Linked DNA regions of Arabidopsis thaliana. The protein of the gene in region 2 interacts with the protein of the main gene of each other region in a pairwise test. Each region holds a gene or a part of one and is shown on either strand. Other genes may lie near its edges. The genes, in order: NF-YC11, NF-YB7, NF-YC6 and NF-YC7.

What was found.
Region 1: the proteins of NF-YB7 (region 2) and NF-YC11 interact in a two-hybrid assay, tested with the Arabidopsis thaliana proteins (2 studies listed by BioGRID).
Region 3: the proteins of NF-YB7 (region 2) and NF-YC6 interact in a two-hybrid assay, tested with the Arabidopsis thaliana proteins (2 studies listed by BioGRID).
Region 4: the proteins of NF-YB7 (region 2) and NF-YC7 interact in binary tests that used the Arabidopsis thaliana proteins (3 or more experiments, as listed by UniProt).

The regions. Positions count from the first base shown.
Region 1 is NC_003074.8:3,955,390-3,962,307, forward strand, and holds NF-YC11 (nuclear factor Y, subunit C11), read left to right. Parts: upstream 1-2,373; 5' UTR 2,374-2,675; coding exon 2,676-2,708; intron 2,709-3,445; coding exon 3,446-3,518; intron 3,519-3,609; coding exon 3,610-3,703; intron 3,704-4,021; coding exon 4,022-4,156; intron 4,157-4,244; coding exon 4,245-4,302; intron 4,303-4,400; coding exon 4,401-4,889; 3' UTR 4,890-5,083; downstream 5,084-6,918. Other genes in the region: AT3G12460 (Polynucleotidyl transferase, ribonuclease H-like superfamily protein), read right to left, coding at 1-34; AT3G12470 (Polynucleotidyl transferase, ribonuclease H-like superfamily protein), read right to left, coding at 734-1,396; CYSB (cystatin B), read right to left, coding at 5,134-5,271, 5,557-5,702, 5,822-6,041, 6,287-6,487.
Region 2 is NC_003071.7:5,653,706-5,659,297, forward strand, and holds NF-YB7 (nuclear factor Y, subunit B7), read right to left. Parts: upstream 2,814-5,592; 5' UTR 2,785-2,813; coding exon 2,137-2,784; 3' UTR 1,686-2,136; downstream 1-1,685. Other genes in the region: NAD-ME1 (NAD-dependent malic enzyme 1), read left to right, coding at 41-127, 212-266, 374-445, 792-854, 949-1,063, 1,324-1,398.
Region 3 is NC_003076.8:20,557,074-20,560,193, forward strand, and holds NF-YC6 (nuclear factor Y, subunit C6), read right to left. Parts: upstream 1,415-3,120; 5' UTR 1,392-1,414; coding exon 783-1,391; 3' UTR 501-782; downstream 1-500. UniProt on the Arabidopsis thaliana protein: Stimulates the transcription of various genes by recognizing and binding to a CCAAT motif in promoters.
Region 4 is NC_003076.8:20,552,972-20,557,522, reverse strand, and holds NF-YC7 (nuclear factor Y, subunit C7), read left to right. Parts: upstream 1-1,764; coding exon 1,765-2,403; downstream 2,404-4,551. UniProt on the Arabidopsis thaliana protein: Stimulates the transcription of various genes by recognizing and binding to a CCAAT motif in promoters.

The DNA.
Region 1 (6,918 bases), on a different chromosome or scaffold from region 2:
CGTAAGATCCGATGGTTCTGATTGTCGGAGCCATTGATTTTGCCTTCAGTTTTTCAAGCAGAGATAATGATGAAACTGCTTTCTTCTCCTTTTGCAATCGTCGGAGGCTAGTTAAATTGTAGTACTGGTGCTCGCTATCACCATTGATCTTTTTGAAAATAAATGCAGTTAAATTTGGACGGTTGAGATGCAGTGTGACGTCATTAACCTACGCCAAACCTTAATGGTTATTACTGATTTGAATTCAAAAAGAATTTCTTATAAAGATCTCGAAATTTGAATTATGGAGAATATTTTGAGTATAGTTTATCAGATTACGTTAGCTAATGTTATATACTCCTAAAAATTAGTATTATCCTAAATCAAGATTAGGATTGATAAACGCATCTCAGTTGTAAACTCGTATCCTTGATCTTGCTTGAGGTTATATCCAGTTTAAAAATCGGAAATCATTTAACTGGGTGCAAAAACATTTGATTGACCAATTTGGTACGTCGTGATTTTTTTTGTCCCATGTCAAATTAAACAAAATTGATAATATAATTCATCAAAGCGTATTTGTTTTTAATCAAAACGTTAGATAGTCTTTTAATATCAATGCCTTTATTACAAACGTAGTCTACATGTACTAATTTTCCAGTCAACATTCATAGTCACAAAATACGATAACATGAAAACTTTCATGAATTAGAAGAAGACGTTGATTGATAAAGAGAGAAGAACAACAACAAATTCAAATCACAAGATTAGCAGCAACTTTTAAGTTCCAGAGACGTTCCTCAACAGCGAGCTTAAAGCAAACATACGACTCAATCGACGCCTGAAGTACCTGATAATGGTTAAGGTTATAAACGCCCCAATCGCTCATACAAATCGCCGGATCTAACCTCACTCCTACGCGACCCAAACGCTCCTTCACGATCTGTTCAAACGAACAAAAACACATCCTAGCCCCTCTCGAATCTCTCACGAACATCCTTATGTCCAGAAGCTTCCCGATCTCCACTCGATGCCTACATTTCTCGAGTTTTTTCTGGTCTTGGCCGTTCCAAACGCCGACGAAAGTCGTTTTGGGATCGGCAAGGAAAGTGCGGAGGACTTTTGGGAGACCGTAATTGTAACCTAGTTGGATGATGAGACAGCGACTACCGACGCACAACTGGAGAGTTTTTGGTGGTGGATCTGGATCGGAACTATCCGGTCTCCACTGAACACCGATTCCAACGACGAGAGGATGTACCGAGTGATTACGGTTGTAGGAGCGGACGCTACGAATCCAGCGGCGGATAACGGAAGCAGTCGGCGTAACGGTGACGATCAAGTCGTCTCCGAAAAAATCGACAAAGTGTTTTTGGTGAGTACGGAAACTTCTGATTCTTTTGATCGTCGGAGCCATTGATCTGTCTTCTTCTTCCTTTCTCTAAATTTTTGAGCGAGTGTTAGAAAGAGAAGCGGTTTCTTTTTCTTGTTATAGGGTACATTTTTGTTTCTAGTTATAATCACCGTCGATCTTTGTAGTTTTAATCGTACGGTTGACAATGGAGATGCATGTACTGTCACATCGTCAGGCCTATCATAGATGTATACGCAAAACATTTACTAATTACTGTATTTTACGGCTCTGAATTTTTATTTTTATTTCCATAAAGGTTTGATGAAGACATGGAATATAATACTTTTTTACGTACTTCTTTTTACTAAAATAGTTTATTCAGTTATTTGGGGGCTTAATTAGGTAGATAACCATAACCTTTTTTTGTGTGTTTTTTTCACGAACAATGATTCACTGATGTAAAATCATAATTACTGATGAAGTTAACTTTCAACGTATAACGCTATGACGCAATTACTCTTGATATTTTTTCCTATATATTGGTTTGACAAAATTTTGTAACTTTAAATATAACTTCTGAAAAAATAAAAAAGTTGTAAATATAAATTCCACAACATTTTGTTTGGAACTTTGGATACATAGGCCACTTTGTTTTATCACACTTTATAATAAAGGTGGTTTCTGTTTTTTTTTTCTAAAATTCGACAGTTTGGTTTATAAGTATCTAAATTCAACTTGAAGACAAATAATTCTAACTTTATTTTATTTAAATTGTGATAAAAAAAAGTAACCCAAAACATATTTTTTGGTTCAGGCATATGTGTTACAACTTACAAGGATGCATTATCCTCAAACAAAATCCAATAAATAAAAAATAGAGAAGGTGGATGAAGATCTAAGAATTAATACTGTCACGAGAAAACGTATACAATCCACTAATACATAGCCACGTGTATGGTTAGATCTTTTCAAACAATCCGATTATATTTTGTGCTCCGCCGTATATTTATAACTAACATTACTTAATTAAATAACCATGTCGTCGACCCATTTTTTTTCTTTGACCCAAAACTTTAATTTGATTATATATATTTAATTTTAATTTTTCCATCGCACGGAGATTGTAACAAGGAAACCGCCGTCGCCGGATCTGATAGTGCATATCCATGAAGTAGAAGACGAAGAAACTTACTTTCTGATCTTAGAACGGAGTATATGTACAGAAGATTCGCGTCCCTCAATTTTTGATCTCAAGGGTCGGGTTTACCTTTTTTTCCTTCTTATTTTTGGTGGCTTTGCGTTTTCTCATTCGACGATTTCTGGATTTGGGGATTTCAAAACCATGAGGAAGAAGCTCGATACTCGGTTCCCAGCTGTAAGTTTTTCGTCTCTAATTGATCATTTCTGAAATTGAAGTCCAATTTCTCGGAAATTACTTTGATCTGTTGTTTTTCAGATCGAATTTCCAACACTATTTGGGATTAGATTAGTGTTCTACGATGAAAATTAGATTAAGTATCTCATTTCTGGCGAATTAGTTTTAGCAAATGACCTAGTAGTCAATTTCACCCTAATTTTTGTTGTGCTTGTTATATAGCTATAGTAATATGTGTTATGAAGATCCGCTATGGAATGTTTCATGTAAATTAGAGAATTCGAGAATTTAGGTGACTAGTGCTCGAAACGTGTTCTTTATCAACAAACCAGTCAGCTATTGGTTAGATAGTGTTGATTGAAGCAGGGATGTTATACACGAATTGTTTTTTCATAGGCTTGGAACTTTTTGTAGAGCTTCCAATTTGGCTAGCTAGATTTTGTTTAGCTTTATTGAATAAAACGTCAGATGATTTCATAAGTTGGTTATTGTTGATGGTGGTTTATTTTGTTTGAGCTGAGGCTAGAATATTAGTTTTTCACAGATTTTGACTTTCCATTTAATTTGTTAATATATTTTTGTTTGTATAATCTGATTGGTGATTGTACAGAGCGTGCTTGGTGTTTCTCAGTTCTACCATTTGCTTTATAATTCGTTTAGTAGTCTGTAATTATTGCCACACACACTGTGTGATGGTTGCTGTTTCTTCATTTGATGCATATATTACAATTTTTCAGGCTCGTATTAAAAAGATTATGCAAGCTGATGAGGATGTTGGCAAGATAGCTTTGGCAGTGCCTGTCTTAGTCTGTAAGTCATCTTGCTATCATTGACTTCAGTTTGAAAAGAGAATTATTGGAAACTTTACCCTTTGGCTAAATTTCATGTTCTCTTATTACAGCAAAATCTTTGGAGTTGTTCTTGCAAGACCTTTGTGATCGTACATATGAAATTACCCTTGAAAGAGGTGCCAAGACTGTGAGCTCATTGCACCTGTAAGTAACAGATTGGTTTACCTTTATTTTTGCTTTAACTCTGCATGCTAGCATCGTCATTATCTAAAGAGCATGAAAGGTTTCACTTGAATGCATTTTAAATTCTAGAGCTTTCAGATGTTGTAATTATTGATATTGTGGTTTAAGAGTTAACATGATGTTGTTAAGCGGAATAGCTTCCAACTCATAGGGCCTATTTTCACTGCATCCAACACCGAGAGGATGTTGTTTACTGTTACAGAATTTTATACCACAAATTTGGGATAAAGTTCTTATTTTTGCTCATCCATGTTTATCAAAGTGCTTTGTTGTTTACAGAAAACATTGTGTGGAAAGATATAACGTGTTTGATTTTCTGAGGGAAGTTGTGAGTAAGGTGCCTGACTATGGCCATTCCCAAGGGCAAGGACATGGTGATGTTACCATGGATGATCGCAGCATCTCCAAGAGAAGGTTGGATGTTTGATCTCTTAGTTCCATATGTTCTAGTTCTTTGTTTATAGTCCGTGTCAAGCTGATGTGAGATGGTTTATCAAAACAGGAAGCCCATCAGCGATGAAGTGAATGACAGTGACGAGGAATATAAGAAAAGCAAAACGGTGAGCTCGTGTTCTTCTTGAAATATTATACTTCATCATTCATTTGGTGTCTATTCCCAGCTCCTTAGATTCATTGAATATATTGGTAATCACTGCAGCAAGAGATAGGGAGTGCTAAGACCAGTGGCAGGGGTGGTAGAGGAAGAGGGCGAGGAAGAGGTCGTGGTGGACGAGCTGCAAAAGCAGCCGAAAGAGAGGGTCTCAACCGCGAGATGGAAGTAGAAGCCGCCAATTCTGGACAGCCACCACCAGAAGACAATGTCAAGATGCATGCGTCAGAGTCATCACCACAAGAGGATGAGAAGAAAGGCATCGACGGCACAGCAGCATCGAACGAAGACACCAAGCAACACCTTCAAAGTCCCAAAGAAGGCATTGACTTTGATCTCAACGCTGAATCCCTCGACCTAAACGAGACCAAACTGGCACCAGCCACAGGCACAACCACAACCACAACTGCAGCAACAGACTCTGAGGAGTATTCGGGCTGGCCTATGATGGACATAAGCAAAATGGATCCAGCACAGCTTGCTAGTCTGGGTAAGAGGATAGACGAGGATGAGGAAGATTATGACGAAGAAGGCTAAGTCATAACAGCACTATAGGATATATAGAGTAGCAGCGTTTAGCAGTTTGTCTAGAAAATGCTTCTTCTGTCATCAAAATCTTCTCCTGTTTCCATTTATTGTATGAACCAAAGATTGCATGCACTCTATGAAACTTAATTTATTCTCCTGATTTGTTATTTAAGGTTTTAGAGTTTTACATCAGAAGTTAAAATATCTTACAGAGTAAGTAAACACTCAAAAGTACATAAACAAAGGAGAGGGACTAGTCATGGTGTTGCTCCGCGTGGTTGAGATGAAGAGCACCTTCATGGTTCTTGTGAACTTCCACCTTGAACTTTTCCTCTTTTTCTCCCCTCTTCAACTTCAGTAGCATGTTGTATTTTGCAGCCTCGCCGGTTACCTGTGTCCATGTTTTTAATATTAAGCTCATTAATCTTGTAATCACCAACTATTACAACTCAGACGTTAGTCCTCATACCAAGGAGAACCAATATGTTGCTTAAAGTCTTTTCTACTTCTAAAACTTCAACACCATTCGGTTTCACTGACACTTGATTTCGTTTATTTGCAATTTCTCAGATGAAATTCATGCAAAAACATTGTCAAAATCTGACAAGTTCTCTATTGAAATTCATTTTGTGCAATTAAGATCGAAGATAGAGTATATAGTAAATTAAAGCCATACCTCAGCTTTAGCATGCACAACCTCCAGAAGTTCATAAGGGAACAAGGAGTTAGACCTCTGCTGAATGGTCTTGACAGCCTGCTCAGCAACATGCTTCACTTCTGGATCATCTCCGGGAACTTCCCTCCATCCAGATTCATGTTCACCTGATCCACAAAACCCAATTTTCATAACCAAACTCTTTCCTAACCCACAATCTCTGACTTGCTACATATATATCCCCTGACATTATAATGTTCTTATCAGTAACTACTCAAATTCACACCTTGCTTGCAGCCAAGATCGGAGGAAGTGATAGCAGGGGCATCACTGGCAGGCTTGAACTCCTGTAACTCTTTAAAGTTCAACCACGGCTTGACCCACACTTTGGCTTCGTAAAGCTTCTTCTGTCCTGCCTCGAGAATCTCCAGAGTCAGGTGATGCAGTGTTCCGGCTACAACTTGTTCTTTCGCCTTCACAACTCTCGCAAACTCAAGAAGTGCATTCTACGACGACCAAAGACAGAACAAACCAAAAAATCAATCAATCAATCAATCCCACAACATGAACGCATTTCATCACCGAATAATATACACTCTCTAAGATCTGCTGGTAACTGAAATTGAGATCAATAGAGAAACTCCGGACAAAATTAGTCTAATCGTGTTCTGGATCAAGACTATAATAGCATAAAACACACATATCGAGACGAGAGATGTGAAAAAATCGAAGATGATGAGAGATTTGGAACCTCTTTCTTGTTGTGTTCATCGACAGCGAAACGAGCGAGGCTCTCAACCTCACCACTGTTCTGATTAGCAGGGACATCGCCAACACCTCCGACTAAAGCCATCTCTTCGTTGCAGAAGCCTAAATCACTGGCGATCAGAGAGGAAATGAAGAGGGATAGAGAGAAGAAAACAATGAAGAGTAAGAAACGGCTTCTCATCATTCTCACCTTTATTTGGTTCGGTGCCCTGTATTTTTAGATATTTTTCGTTTTACTCGTCGAATTGTTGATTTTATCCTCTACAGTTAATTCGCCGTGTACCGGATTAAGGTGTCCATTTGGTTTGATGTTGGTTTTGTTGGTACAGTTTTAAGTTTAGGCTCTGATTTATGAAAATATTCTTACGATTTAAAACAAAAAAGGTTTACATTTGATTGGATGCCAATTGAATCGAATCATTTGTAAGAAAAGAGTACCGATTCGAGTTATAGATTGGTTTGATTTGGCCTCAATCGGTTAAGCTACCAACATTTTAAATAGAAATTCATACCAATCTGGATTACACATGAAAACGTTGCTGAGGATAGCGGCACGTTATACGAAACGTGTCGGCAGAGTCACACAGAAATTGTCAAACACCTTTACTTGTAATC
Region 2 (5,592 bases):
TTTGGATAGATGTAATAGGTACTTGTGTTTTGAATAACAGCTGAATGCACGCCTCAAGATGCATTTTCGATATTAGGCGAAAATATGATTTTTGCGAGTGGAAGCCCATTCAAGAATGTGGAATTTGGTATGTATGAGGACCTCTGTATCATTTAGCATACGCCATTTTATATGAGGCTTTTTCAAATATTAGTACCTTTTCTTGTGGCAGGAAATGGTCATGTAGGACATTGCAACCAGGGAAACAACATGTATCTATTTCCAGGGTTGGTTCCTCTTGTTTATTGTCCGAAAGAATTGCATACATTCTTGAATTGATACATTAATTGTCATGAAATAAATTGATTTTCTAATCCTGTAAAATTTATTGTAGTATTGGACTTGGCACTCTTTTATCTGGTGCTCCCATTGTCTCCGACGGGATGCTTCAGGCCGCATCCGAGTGGTAAGCTCCTTTCTTTACCTTTTTCATTTATCATTCCTGATTTATTCTCAACTAAAGCTGAAGTGAGTACCATGATATATAACTACGGACCAAATTTAAATGATTATTAAGAATGTCCGCATATTTGGCTGATGTCACGAACTATAACATACCCCCCATCCACGAGACAGGAACCACAGTAGTTCGACATGTTCTCTCCAAATGGTATTCCCAATAGTAGGCCTTCGGTTGAGGTTTCATATTGTAGTTAGTGTAAAACTCATATTTTTAAGGAGACCATGAAAATAAACAAGTCCCGTAATTTATGAATGTGGAATCATGACATTGTTCTGCTAAACTACTGCAGCCTAGCAGCATACATGAGCGAAGAAGAAGTGCTAGAGGGGATTATATACCCTCCAATATCAAGGTAAGAGTAACACAATCAAAGAACATCCTTACTGTTACATAAGAAAATGTTTTGATATAGTTGCTACATTTGGCATGTGGAATTGAAATTTCAGGATACGAGACATAACAAAAAGAATAGCAGCTGCGGTGATTAAGGAAGCGATTGAGGAGGATTTGGTTGAAGGATATAGAGAAATGGACGCTCGAGAGATCCAAAAGCTGGATGAGGTAACAATTCAGCTAATGACTTGCTTTAATATAATCATAAATGATAGAAAAAGAAAAGATGTCAAAACAACATCCCATCTTTCACGTGTTTTGGACTCCTGATCATAAAATCGTATTCTACGAAGAATGTCGATCGGGTTTGATTATATGTAAAGAACAGAAGAGTGTTTACCTGATTTCTCACTTAGAGAAAATAAAGACTAAACCAGAAACTAAGCCTAAATGTTAGTTATGTTGACGCGGTCTTGTGTATTCCGCAGGAGGGGCTGATGGAGTATGTGGAAAACAACATGTGGAATCCAGAGTACCCGACTTTGGTCTACAAGGATGACTAAGTTTGGTTCCCAAAATGAATAAGTCTACTTTCTCTTATTTATATGTAAAAATTTATAATTGGGGTTGCTTTATACCCAATCAAATTCATAGCTACTGCTTTCTCTTGTTCTTATGTAAAAAAAAAAAAAATATATAATTGGGTTGTTTGTTATCCAATCAGATTCATAGCTTCCACTTTCTCTTATTTATATGTAAAAAAGAAGTTATATTCAATCAGATTCATAGCAGCAACATTTTACATACATCGTATTAGAAATGCATTTACTTTTATAACTTATAGTTTCAGGTCAAGATACTAAGAGTAGTGAGTGAGGAACAATTTGAAGTTCTTTAATTCAAGCAATCATCTTTATCAATCATAACATGAGTAAATGAATGAGAAACAATACACCATTCTCTTCCAATTAAGCTATTCTCTACTGGAAACCTTATAAGCTAGACCACTAACTCTCAAACCGTAGGTGGTAAGTATTCTAATCCAATTAGCAGCATGGAATTAGTTTCTACTGTTGTAAATCATGAGAGATTGCTATATTTGCTCGAGACGAACTAATCCGGAAAATATATGAAGACGAATTTCTGTTACACAAAACCATGGGTATACTGAAAATATCAAAATGTACGTGTCTAGTGTCTATATAGCAACAAATATATATAAGCATCAAGATGTACTCACAAAAGGTAAAGAAAAGCATATAATATGTGAAAAGAAAGAAGAAAAAAAGCAAATGTCTCTCTCACCAGTGAATTGAATCAATGTTATTATCATGCTGCTGCGGGAACTGTTTCTGCAATGATTTAGGAGAGAAAGCAATATTGGGAAAAGGTTGATGATCCACTGGTAGGAATGGAGAAGGATGATGATGAGAGATGTAACTAGTACATGACATGTTGTTATTGTTTTGGTCTTGTTCTTGAAACTGATAATTATGATGATTCTGTTGTTGAATCTGCTGTTGTTGTTGTCTTTGTTGTTGTTGTTTTGGGCTGTTAACTTTCTCTCCTTCGGTGTCTCTATATTTGCAGAGGTAGACCTTTAATGGAGCCACGTAGTCTTCGAAACCGAGAGTTGTGATAGCCCAAATGATATCATCTCCATTGATGGTCTTCCTCTTTTCTCTTTGACACTTGTCAGAAGCTTCACCAGTGACGAAACTAATGAACTCCGAGACACATTCTTGAACGGTTTCTTTAGCGTCTTTTGAGATCTTACCGTTACCGGGAAGAACTTTTTTCATGATCCTTCCGACATTCGCAATGGGAAGAAACCGGTCTTGTTCTTTGTTGTTGTTGTTGTTGTTGTTGGTCTTTGAAGAAGGGCTTCCTGGATTTGTTTCAGCTACTCCAGGAGACCCATGATCTTCTTCTGGGCTCTCCTCAGTCATATCTCTATCTCTTTGTTTTTTTTTGTGATTGATGTTAACCACATGTGATCAATCTGATTTTATGGTTAAGCTTAGTGCATGAAACTAGGCAACTTTTCTATTTATGGATACCTTGCCAACCAAATTTGGAACTCCATGCGACTCGCTCCTTTTTTTTTTTTTTTTTTTTTTTCTTTGTTATTTGCCAGATAATAAAGAAAAGTGTAAGAAAATAGCAATCATGTAACATATTGTCATCAAATAGTGTTTTCAATTTATTATTTTCCGTAGTATGTTTATTTAGTATGTAGACAACTATAAATTATCATGTCTCCATAATGCTTTGATTTATTGTATTATAGTAATTTCCTAAACTCTAGCCTGGTAAATATATATGGTGGTTATTTATCCGAGAATATTACACGTAAAGGCACTATTTTGAAACTTTGGCCACAAATAGGCACTTTAAAAGCATTAGTCACTTTAACTCAGTAGAATTACCCCTTTACCCTGAAATCGTTAGTTTAACAAAACCTAACAAATTTAGCCGGTTTTCGGTTTAATTTTTTAATCTCAATCTCTAAACTAAAACCAATTTGTGAGAAACCTCTTTTTCTCACCCAATCCTTCACGACGATTTTACAGTTTCATTTATCTGGGCAGTTAAAATCATCACAACGACGATAACATCATCTCGACTCCGGCGATCATCCCAACGAGTTTTCTACCGGCAAAGTCATTTCCTCGTCCCTCTCCCGTCGTTATCGTCAACAAAGCTTTCAATCGGCCGACATTAATTCGTCCTCTCCCGTCGTCGTCGTCAACACTTGTTCTCCCGTCATGGTCTTCATTTTCTTGTCTCTCAATCGATTCGTCGTCTCCGGCGTGTGCTAGTAACTTCTACTCGGTCCTCAAATGCAAGGTATTAATCTTCTCCAATCATTTTATTTGCTCTAATTATTCAACCGTGTGCTAATTTTATTTATAATATCCAACATTGTGAAGAGCTAATAGGTGAAGACATGAATGCTACGTTAGGTGATATTTCAAAAATGTTAATCACAAGACCTTATCTTCTTACCACAGACTTCGGCTTGCTTATCTCCTCATTGTTGACGGTGTCCTCGTATCCTCAAACCAACCTATTACGTCTACATTAAAATATGTAGAGATGTTGGCAGATTTGGAGAAGTTCCTTAACTGACTGAGGTCTACGTAACTGACTGTCTATACACATGTGGATAAATGGTCAAAGAAACATGGATAATATACTTTGGATTGACGTTTATTGTTCATGTATAAACTTATGTATTAGTATGAAACTATCATGTGAGTCTTTAGATGATCATGGACTGGACTGCTTGGACAATCATTAATGGACAAATATGTCTTTGATTTGCTGCGAATATGTTTATAGCTCGATAAAATTGTATCAACATGTCTATATACATGTGGATAAATGGTCAAAGAAACATGGATAATGTACTTTGGATTGATGTTTATTTGTAAATCTTAATATAAATGTCATCCAGTCATAGTGAATTATCCAATCAGACAAACGAATTAATACAGTTATGTTGTGGATGGATTCATATGGATACATTAACAATTATCTTTATCTTTCAACATGAAAAGCGTTTGATATGGATACATTAACCATATCGATAATCTTATCTCTATATTGCTGTTGAATGTTTTAGTGGTTTGTATCATATTATTTGTTTGTTCCATCCATAACAACATTTTTTCAAGTGCATCTAACATTTGATATCAGTTAACAATGCGAAGAAAAATAAATAATTTTGTGTATTTTGAACTATTGTTTATTTGGTAAATCATTCTAGCTAATTATGTTTACAAATACGTTAAAACTTAATATAAATGTCATCCAGTGATAATGAATTATCCAATCAGACAAACGAATTAATACATTTATATTGTGGATGGATTCTTATGGATACATTATCAATTATCTTTCTCTTTTACCATGAAAGACAAATCTAAAATTCCTTCTACCGGAAATATTGAGATACTGTTGTATAGCGGGAATATTCCCACCATCAGGTTTTAAACTATATTGTTTACAATATGATCAAAAAAAAAAAACATATGCACACTTAGAGACAAAGAGAAGCTCGTCAGCTCTCCCGTCTCAACCAGCTCGTCAGCTCACCCGTCTGAAGCATCTCGTCAGCCGGTCCGTCTCAAGTAGCTCATCAGATCGCCCGTCTCAAGCAGCTCGTCAGCTCACCCATCCGAAGTATCTCGCCAGCCGGCCCGTCTCAAGTAGCTTATAAGCTCGCCCGTCTCAAGCAGCTCGTCAGCTCACCCGTCCGAAGTATCTCGCCAGCCGGCCCGTCTCAAGTAGCTTATCAGCTCGCCCGTCTCAAGCAGCTCGTCAGCTCACCCGTCCGAAGTACCTCGTTTGCCCATCCATCTTGAGTAGCTCGTTTACTCGTCCGTCCGAAGTGTCTCGCCGACTTGCCCGCCCAAAGTAACTAACCTACTCGCACGTCTCGAGAAGCCATTCAACTCGTCACTTATCCGCCGGATCATCCCTAAAACTGCCTAACTCGACATACGACCTTCCTCCAGTAATGGCCTAGCTCGTTTATCGCGATATGAACTACGTGTGGCTTGATCCCTTTCTAAGGGTACGTAGGCAGCCTTTTGCAGTTTATCTTTTATTGGACTTGATATGTTGGATACTAGTTTTTTTGCCGAAACAATTTCTTAAATTTTTTCCATACGAGTTTCTTGTTTAATGGTGCTCAAGTCAAACCTCCAGCACCAACCTGTAGTAAATGCAGTTATCGATGGAGATGATAT
Region 3 (3,120 bases), on a different chromosome or scaffold from region 2:
AAGGTTACCCAATTTGTTTTTGCTATAAAAAGCTTTATTTAAAAAACAAAATCAGGCTTATTATTTTTAAAACAAAAAATGGGGTTTTGAACTATAATTTTGGGCTAATTATAAGTTGTTTTATAAAATATGGGTTTTTTATATATCAATTTTACTTCAAAAATAAAAAAAGTCTTGACCCTCACACCTTACGACTCACCCATTGGGTCGAGGTTGATGATAACAAGCTCGGCCCAAATAGGATGGGCAAAAGGGCAGTAGCCCATGATTCCATGATTTTTTCTGAATTATTTTTTAAAAAGGCCATATTTTATAAAAAAATTAATTTGACTGAAAATATCTAATAAATGGCCCAATATATTTGGAGAAAAAAACTTTTACATGAAATGGGGCCCTTAATATTACTTTAAAAAAATAATTAATTTGTAATCGGATTAGAAGGAGAGTAATCGAATGAGTGATTTTTTAAGGGATTAGTCATTAATCATGGATAGAATGGACTTAACGATTAAGCGGAGAGTAACCGGATATGATGGACTTAGCGATTAAACGGAGAGTAACCGGTGTTAGGCGGAGGATTTTAGAACAAGATATTATGTAAGAGACTAACTCCAAAAGACAATCAAATTCTCAGAAAAGCGCTTACAAGTCTACTAAAAAAAACAATTTGCCTTCCACACATTGTTTACATGAAAGCAAATCCGACGAATTGAAGAACCCTAATAAACACCACCAAATTTCAAATTTCCCACATAGGCGGTTACAAACCCTAAATCTACACTTCAATTTCCGCCGCCGTTTCCTCCATTATCCTCAGCATCATCCTCCCCGTCACCAGCCGCTGCTGGCCACGCCTGCGATGGCGCGTACATTCCACTACCAACCATAGGAGTTCCCATCACCACTCCCGGTGGATAATAATATTGCGGTACTCCTCCACCGTCAGGATGTGGCATAGCCACAAAGCCAGGATCAGCGGTGGCGATAGACTCGTCCTTAGGGACAACATCAAGAAGGAAATCGTAGGTGAAAGAGCTAGCCACTGCGTTGGAGATATCCGATTTCTGAAGCGTGTGGCGTTTGTTCTCCTCGGCTTTGAGCCACGACCGCATCGTGAGATCAACGATGAACATTTCGCAAGCCTTTGCGAAGATGATCGGAGCCTCTGCGGAGACCATGTGCACATCTGGATCAGCCTTCATGATCTTCTTAATTCGAGCCAATGGAAGCTGACGGTTTTTGAAATCCGAGACGGTTTCCATCTGCTCAATCCAGTAATTACGTAACTGAGGGTTGGATGATGCCATCGGCGGCAGCTGCGAGTACGACGGTGGTTGCTGGTGGTTGTCGTTGTTCATGTTGTCGCCGTTGTTGTTGTTGTTCTCAGCCATTTACAATTTCTAGGGATTTGGATGTTGGAAGTGAGATTTTTATCGGAGGGTTTGGCTGGCATATATTTAAAGGAAACCTAAAAGCGTAGATGGCTTTAAAGCAGTCAAATGTGAATCTTTACACATATAATATTTTCTTTATTATTATGGCTTTTTTTGTGAGAATAATTATAATTGTGACTTATGTGTGTGACTGGTTATTATTATTAAAATGAAAAAGAAAATGGTGAAAGATTTTTTTTTAATCCATATTAAGATGAGAAAGCTAAAGATATCTGATTCCCTATAAAATTGAAAGGTAAAAAATGTTGTTAAGAAGTTATTTTCGTATAATGAAACGAAATTGAAAGTCAACAATTTTTTGCAAAGATTTCATACATTTAATTTTTTCTAGTTGTATAGTGCTACAAATATTGAATTTTGACACCGTTTTGGGTAAGAAATCCACACATTAAATATTTTTTCTTTCCTTTTTTTGGGTAAGAAATCCAAACATTAAACATTTTTTCTTTTTTTTTTTGGCAAAGATTTTTTTTTTCTAAATGATAAATAATACAAGGAAGTAAATCTTAGTGTAGCCACCCATAAAAGTAATATTTAGTTTTTGTAATATGTAAAATTGAAATATAATAAAGTAATACTTAATTTTTCATAAATTATTTTATAACTTTTTATTATGTTGATGATATTCCATGTTATAAAACAATTAATCAATGTTTTTATATCCAACCCGGACCGTACAATACTACCGGTTAACCCACAATTCGGACATTTCTTCTATTTGGGTTTAGTGTTAACATTTGACAATCTTAAAACCCAAAGAGTCCCATAAAAATCGTCTTTGACACACGATCTGGTGAACCAACCAAGTATCGAATCATGAGAATCATATATATGAAAGTTGTCCAACTTTTTCCATCTTTCCGATACATCAATACTAGAGAGAGTGACAATGTCATAACAACATATTAATTACACTAATTATTTAATTTAATGTATTTAAGAATTTAAAATTATTCATTAATTCGTTCTTATATAAAATTTGACATGTTTTAACTTAATTAATTAAATAATTTTAGTTTAATTAGGTACAAAGTATATCAAACTGATATATAAATAACTTATCTAATTTTAGTTTTATAAATCGTATAAACTTAAGCATAACTTAAAATCAAAAGAATTTTAATGAAATTTTAGATTTTATTTAAGTATAAAAATTAAAAAAATATGATATAAGAATTTTATTTCATGTTTTCATATACTATAATATATATTGGATTAGTGACAATGAGTATTAGTTGAATTTATGATTTATTTTAAACTAAATATAAGATACTAAATCGACACTACTTTTTGTTTATTTAGAAATAACAATTATTTCTTAAAGGTAAGTAATTGTAAATAAGTTTTAAACAATGTAATTAAAAACAAAAACAAGTATACAAAATGAATTATTTACTCGAGAGTTAGAGAAATATATAGAAATGATAATTAGAAAAAACAAAAACAAAAATAATTCAATTAATAACTTCCTCATAAGAGTTCGCTAAAACCGCGCTAAAATTTCTTGAAAGACAAAATTCAAATAAATCGTTTGTGCGCCAAATTCCGTTGGAAAACAAAGAATAAGAACGAAAAATGAGTTGGAAAATTTTTAAAATAGATTCAGGTTTCAAAATAAGTTTTTTTTGCTAGATCTCTGGATCTTGTTGCCTCTAGAATGTAATCT
Region 4 (4,551 bases), on a different chromosome or scaffold from region 2:
TTACTCTCCTTCTAATCCGATTACAAATTAATTATTTTTTTAAAGTAATATTAAGGGCCCCATTTCATGTAAAAGTTTTTTTCTCCAAATATATTGGGCCATTTATTAGATATTTTCAGTCAAATTAATTTTTTTATAAAATATGGCCTTTTTAAAAAATAATTCAGAAAAAATCATGGAATCATGGGCTACTGCCCTTTTGCCCATCCTATTTGGGCCGAGCTTGTTATCATCAACCTCGACCCAATGGGTGAGTCGTAAGGTGTGAGGGTCAAGACTTTTTTTATTTTTGAAGTAAAATTGATATATAAAAAACCCATATTTTATAAAACAACTTATAATTAGCCCAAAATTATAGTTCAAAACCCCATTTTTTGTTTTAAAAATAATAAGCCTGATTTTGTTTTTTAAATAAAGCTTTTTATAGCAAAAACAAATTGGGTAACCTTACATCTCTAATTTTATTTGGGATGGGGCTGATTATCATCACAAGGACTATGCATAAATGTTTTCAATAACTCCATATCAATAAAAAATAATCTGGTTTGATTGCTTTTATCCAGCTAACTAAATTTCACACCAAATGTTGAACTCATCATTGTTTTTTCTAGATTTTGCATGATTCGTTTGTTCAAGTAATCAGGTTCGACTTTCGATTAAAGCCTAAAAATCTCATGAAACAAAGGTTTTAGGCAAAGAACTCTCTATATAAATATATAGGCGCATCATTTCATAAAAAGTTTATTTCCGAAAAGTTGATGGATATCCGCTTTAGGTGACCAGTTCGATCCTAATTTCCTAACTTTTGTAATTTCTTTTTAACAGGTGACGGCAAATTATGTTTGGACCGGCCCTAAAAGTAGTAATTATTTCCTTTAAAAATAATATCTAAGGTTAAGAGAAACATATTCTTTACATAAACAATATCTTTGGATGTTTAAATTTTAAGCTTGATATTTTAACGAACTTTGGCGCGAAAACCATCTATTCAAATATCTCTTTCCACCACTTGTGTTTTCATTGATTTGGAATTGTTATCTGCATTGAGATATCTTTGAATGATGAAACATGTTCCTTTGCTACCTTTAAATTAATGCTTCAGATTAGATCGGTCTCATGCACAAGACAAATTGACATACATATTTGCATCTTTGAAATGCTGACAATATTTGCAATCTCCTAAGAATGATAACACAAAGAAGCAGGCCAAGCATTGGATTTTAAGTACACAACTATAGCTTTTTCACTCGAAGCCAAAGTCACCTTATCTATGCGGAAACTCCACATACTTTCCATTGCGCATTAGAAAATTCTCAGTTTGGTATCTTCCCACTAATTACCACTCCAAGGCACCACTTATAGTTTTCTTCTTTGACTAATCAGATCTTGGGCACAAAACCATTGACGACATTCCTCATATGCTAGCTTTCACATACTTCCCTAAATTGGTTAGTATAAAATCCACCTTATCTAAAGCTATAGTTGACTAATAGCTTTCACCTTATCTAAATTTTATAAGTTTTAAAATTTATAAAATCCAAAAAGTATTGGTTAACAAAAATTTATAATGAATAGAAAGTGAGGTTTTGTATTTTGGGATTTCACATATATTAGTAAATATTGTATAACACAAAACAAAATATTAATAAAAAATAAATTTTATTTTTGAGAAAATAGTTGGGCTGATTTCGTAGCCCACTTAATCAGCCTTTAAATATGGAAACCCTAGCCTAGAAAGTGAACAAGAAAAACGTAAAGATCAAAATGGAAGAGAACAACGGCAACAACAACCACTACCTGCCGCAACCATCGTCTTCCCAACTGCCGCCGCCACCATTGTATTATCAATCAATGCCGTTGCCGTCATATTCACTGCCGCTGCCGTACTCACCGCAGATGCGGAATTATTGGATTGCGCAGATGGGAAACGCAACTGATGTTAAGCATCATGCGTTTCCACTAACCAGGATAAAGAAAATCATGAAGTCCAACCCGGAAGTGAACATGGTCACTGCAGAGGCTCCGGTCCTTATATCGAAGGCCTGTGAGATGCTCATTCTTGATCTCACAATGCGATCGTGGCTTCATACCGTGGAGGGCGGTCGCCAAACTCTCAAGAGATCCGATACGCTCACGAGATCCGATATCTCCGCCGCAACGACTCGTAGTTTCAAATTTACCTTCCTTGGCGACGTTGTCCCAAGAGACCCTTCCGTCGTTACCGATGATCCCGTGCTACATCCGGACGGTGAAGTACTTCCTCCGGGAACGGTGATAGGATATCCGGTGTTTGATTGTAATGGTGTGTACGCGTCACCGCCACAGATGCAGGAGTGGCCGGCGGTGCCTGGTGACGGAGAGGAGGCAGCTGGGGAAATTGGAGGAAGCAGCGGCGGTAATTGAAAAGTGTTGATTGGGTTTTAGGGTTGTAATGCTTTTGTGAGAATTTGTATCTCTATCGAGTCATGTTTGTTGTTGTTGTTGTTATTATGTTTTGCTTTCGTTAATGTCATGTGTTCTGTTGTTGTTGGTGTTATGTGTAGTCTTCCATGTGAAATATCACATAGAAGACTAAACATAACATCAACAACACCAAAACACATGGCATTAACGAAAGCAAATGGAAGACAATGGAATTTTAGTTAACTCTTATTTTCTTCTTTGCTTTAGATTAGTTTATGCCAAAGAATCACCAAAATATTCGCAGTTCATTACGAAAAAACACAATGAACTAGGCATAAATGTCAATTACCATAAAAAACATATACTACTAGCTCCATCTTCTAGTTATCCTTTATGAAAGTAGAAAATCCCCATGGCTCATGGTATTAATTTTGTATACGTTGTGAATATGTAGGCATCATGATCTTAGGATCTAGTAAGAGATCTTTTTGAATCCCGAATCTATGTTCGTAAATTTTCCAGCATTTTGATTTTAAAATGGATTTTCGCGTGAAAGTTATACTCCGGTTTTATTATGCAACGAAATTTTACTTGCAAACCGCTGATATATTATTCCAGTTTTCTCAATTTGGCATGAGTTGTTTCTCACATAGTATATTTCGTTTTCAAGATATGAACATCTAATGTGTAAAAGATCTATTGAAAATATAGTTGTGGAACACCTTGAAAATTGTTGTGGATAACAAGTGTTCGTAAAACAAACATTGTTCGTAACGACCAATTAGGAGCCACATAATAAAACCAAATATTTTCACTTCGTAATCATTAGATAAAAAAAAATCTTTGAATATTTACTTTTTTTTTAAGCAATAAATCTTTCTTCTTATGAAAAGATAGAAAACAATCTAGACAATTTAATTTTTAGAAGCAATAAATCCTTCTGTTTATGAAAAGGGTCCTCACTCTTATATATATACTTGGTTTCATTTTCTTTTTACTTTAAATGGCTACATTAAAGAGTAGCCAGAAAACATAAATAAAAACTCCAAAACACTACTTTCTCGGTTTTATATTATAAGTTGTTTTAGCCAAATTATTTTGATTCTTAACATAAGATGTTTTAGACAAATAATTCAAATTTCTATGCAAGCGTAGAATTTATATACTTTTATGACTATATATATATTATGCAGTAACGAATTTCATTGGCCAAACTCACTTTAATTAACTAAATATTAAATTATGTTTTTAATTTAGAAAAAATATATAAAAAGATAAATTAATTATTTAAACTTTGTGTTTAAACATCATATTTTTTTAAACAATGGGAGTACCATAGTTACCGTTAATTTAGAGAGAAAAAGTTCTTATTTAAAACTTCAAATGTATTCGTTTTATGAGTTTCTAAAAAAACCAACTAAAGATTTTGAGTATGGAGGAAACAACGGCAAAAACTGAAGTGTGGTTTGTAATTTAAGATTTCTAACCGCTTTCGTGAGAATTTGAATTACTTTTCAAGTTATGTTTTTGAATTTAAAGTGTGTAATGTTAGGACCTAAAGACTTGAATTTCCAAATATATTCAAAAAAAAAAATGTTATGATTTTTATTGTGAAAATGGAGAGTGAAGGCAAGTTGTTAGGCATAAAATATGTAGAACAAACAATATGTATTCCTTAAAAAAGGATAAACACTTTGAAGATTTGAAGAAACGAATTTTGGATGCTTCTAGATTTTCAGAATGGATAAAATTCAAAAGAATATGCAACACTCAATTCATATCTCAAAGAGAATGAGGAAAAACTGAGGTATTCTCTATGTTAAGATAAGGAGGCAATAAAGGAGGAAGAGACATAAAATCCTAGAAAAACAATATTGTTCAACAATTGAAATTTTTTCAAACAATCATTCAAGACCTACAGATACAGTATAAATTTATTCTATTGTCAGAAACATGACCATCTAGTAGTATTAGTAGATGAATATGCATATGGCGATCATTGCTTTGATGATCTGAATAAAATCACACTCTTTCTGTTAGTTTCAAATGCTGGAGACTTAAGTTTCTTTACAAATAGATAAATTATCTACTACATCGTTGAATAGAAGTTGAGGAGTAACCAAAACATTTAGTTGAGGAAGTTGTAAC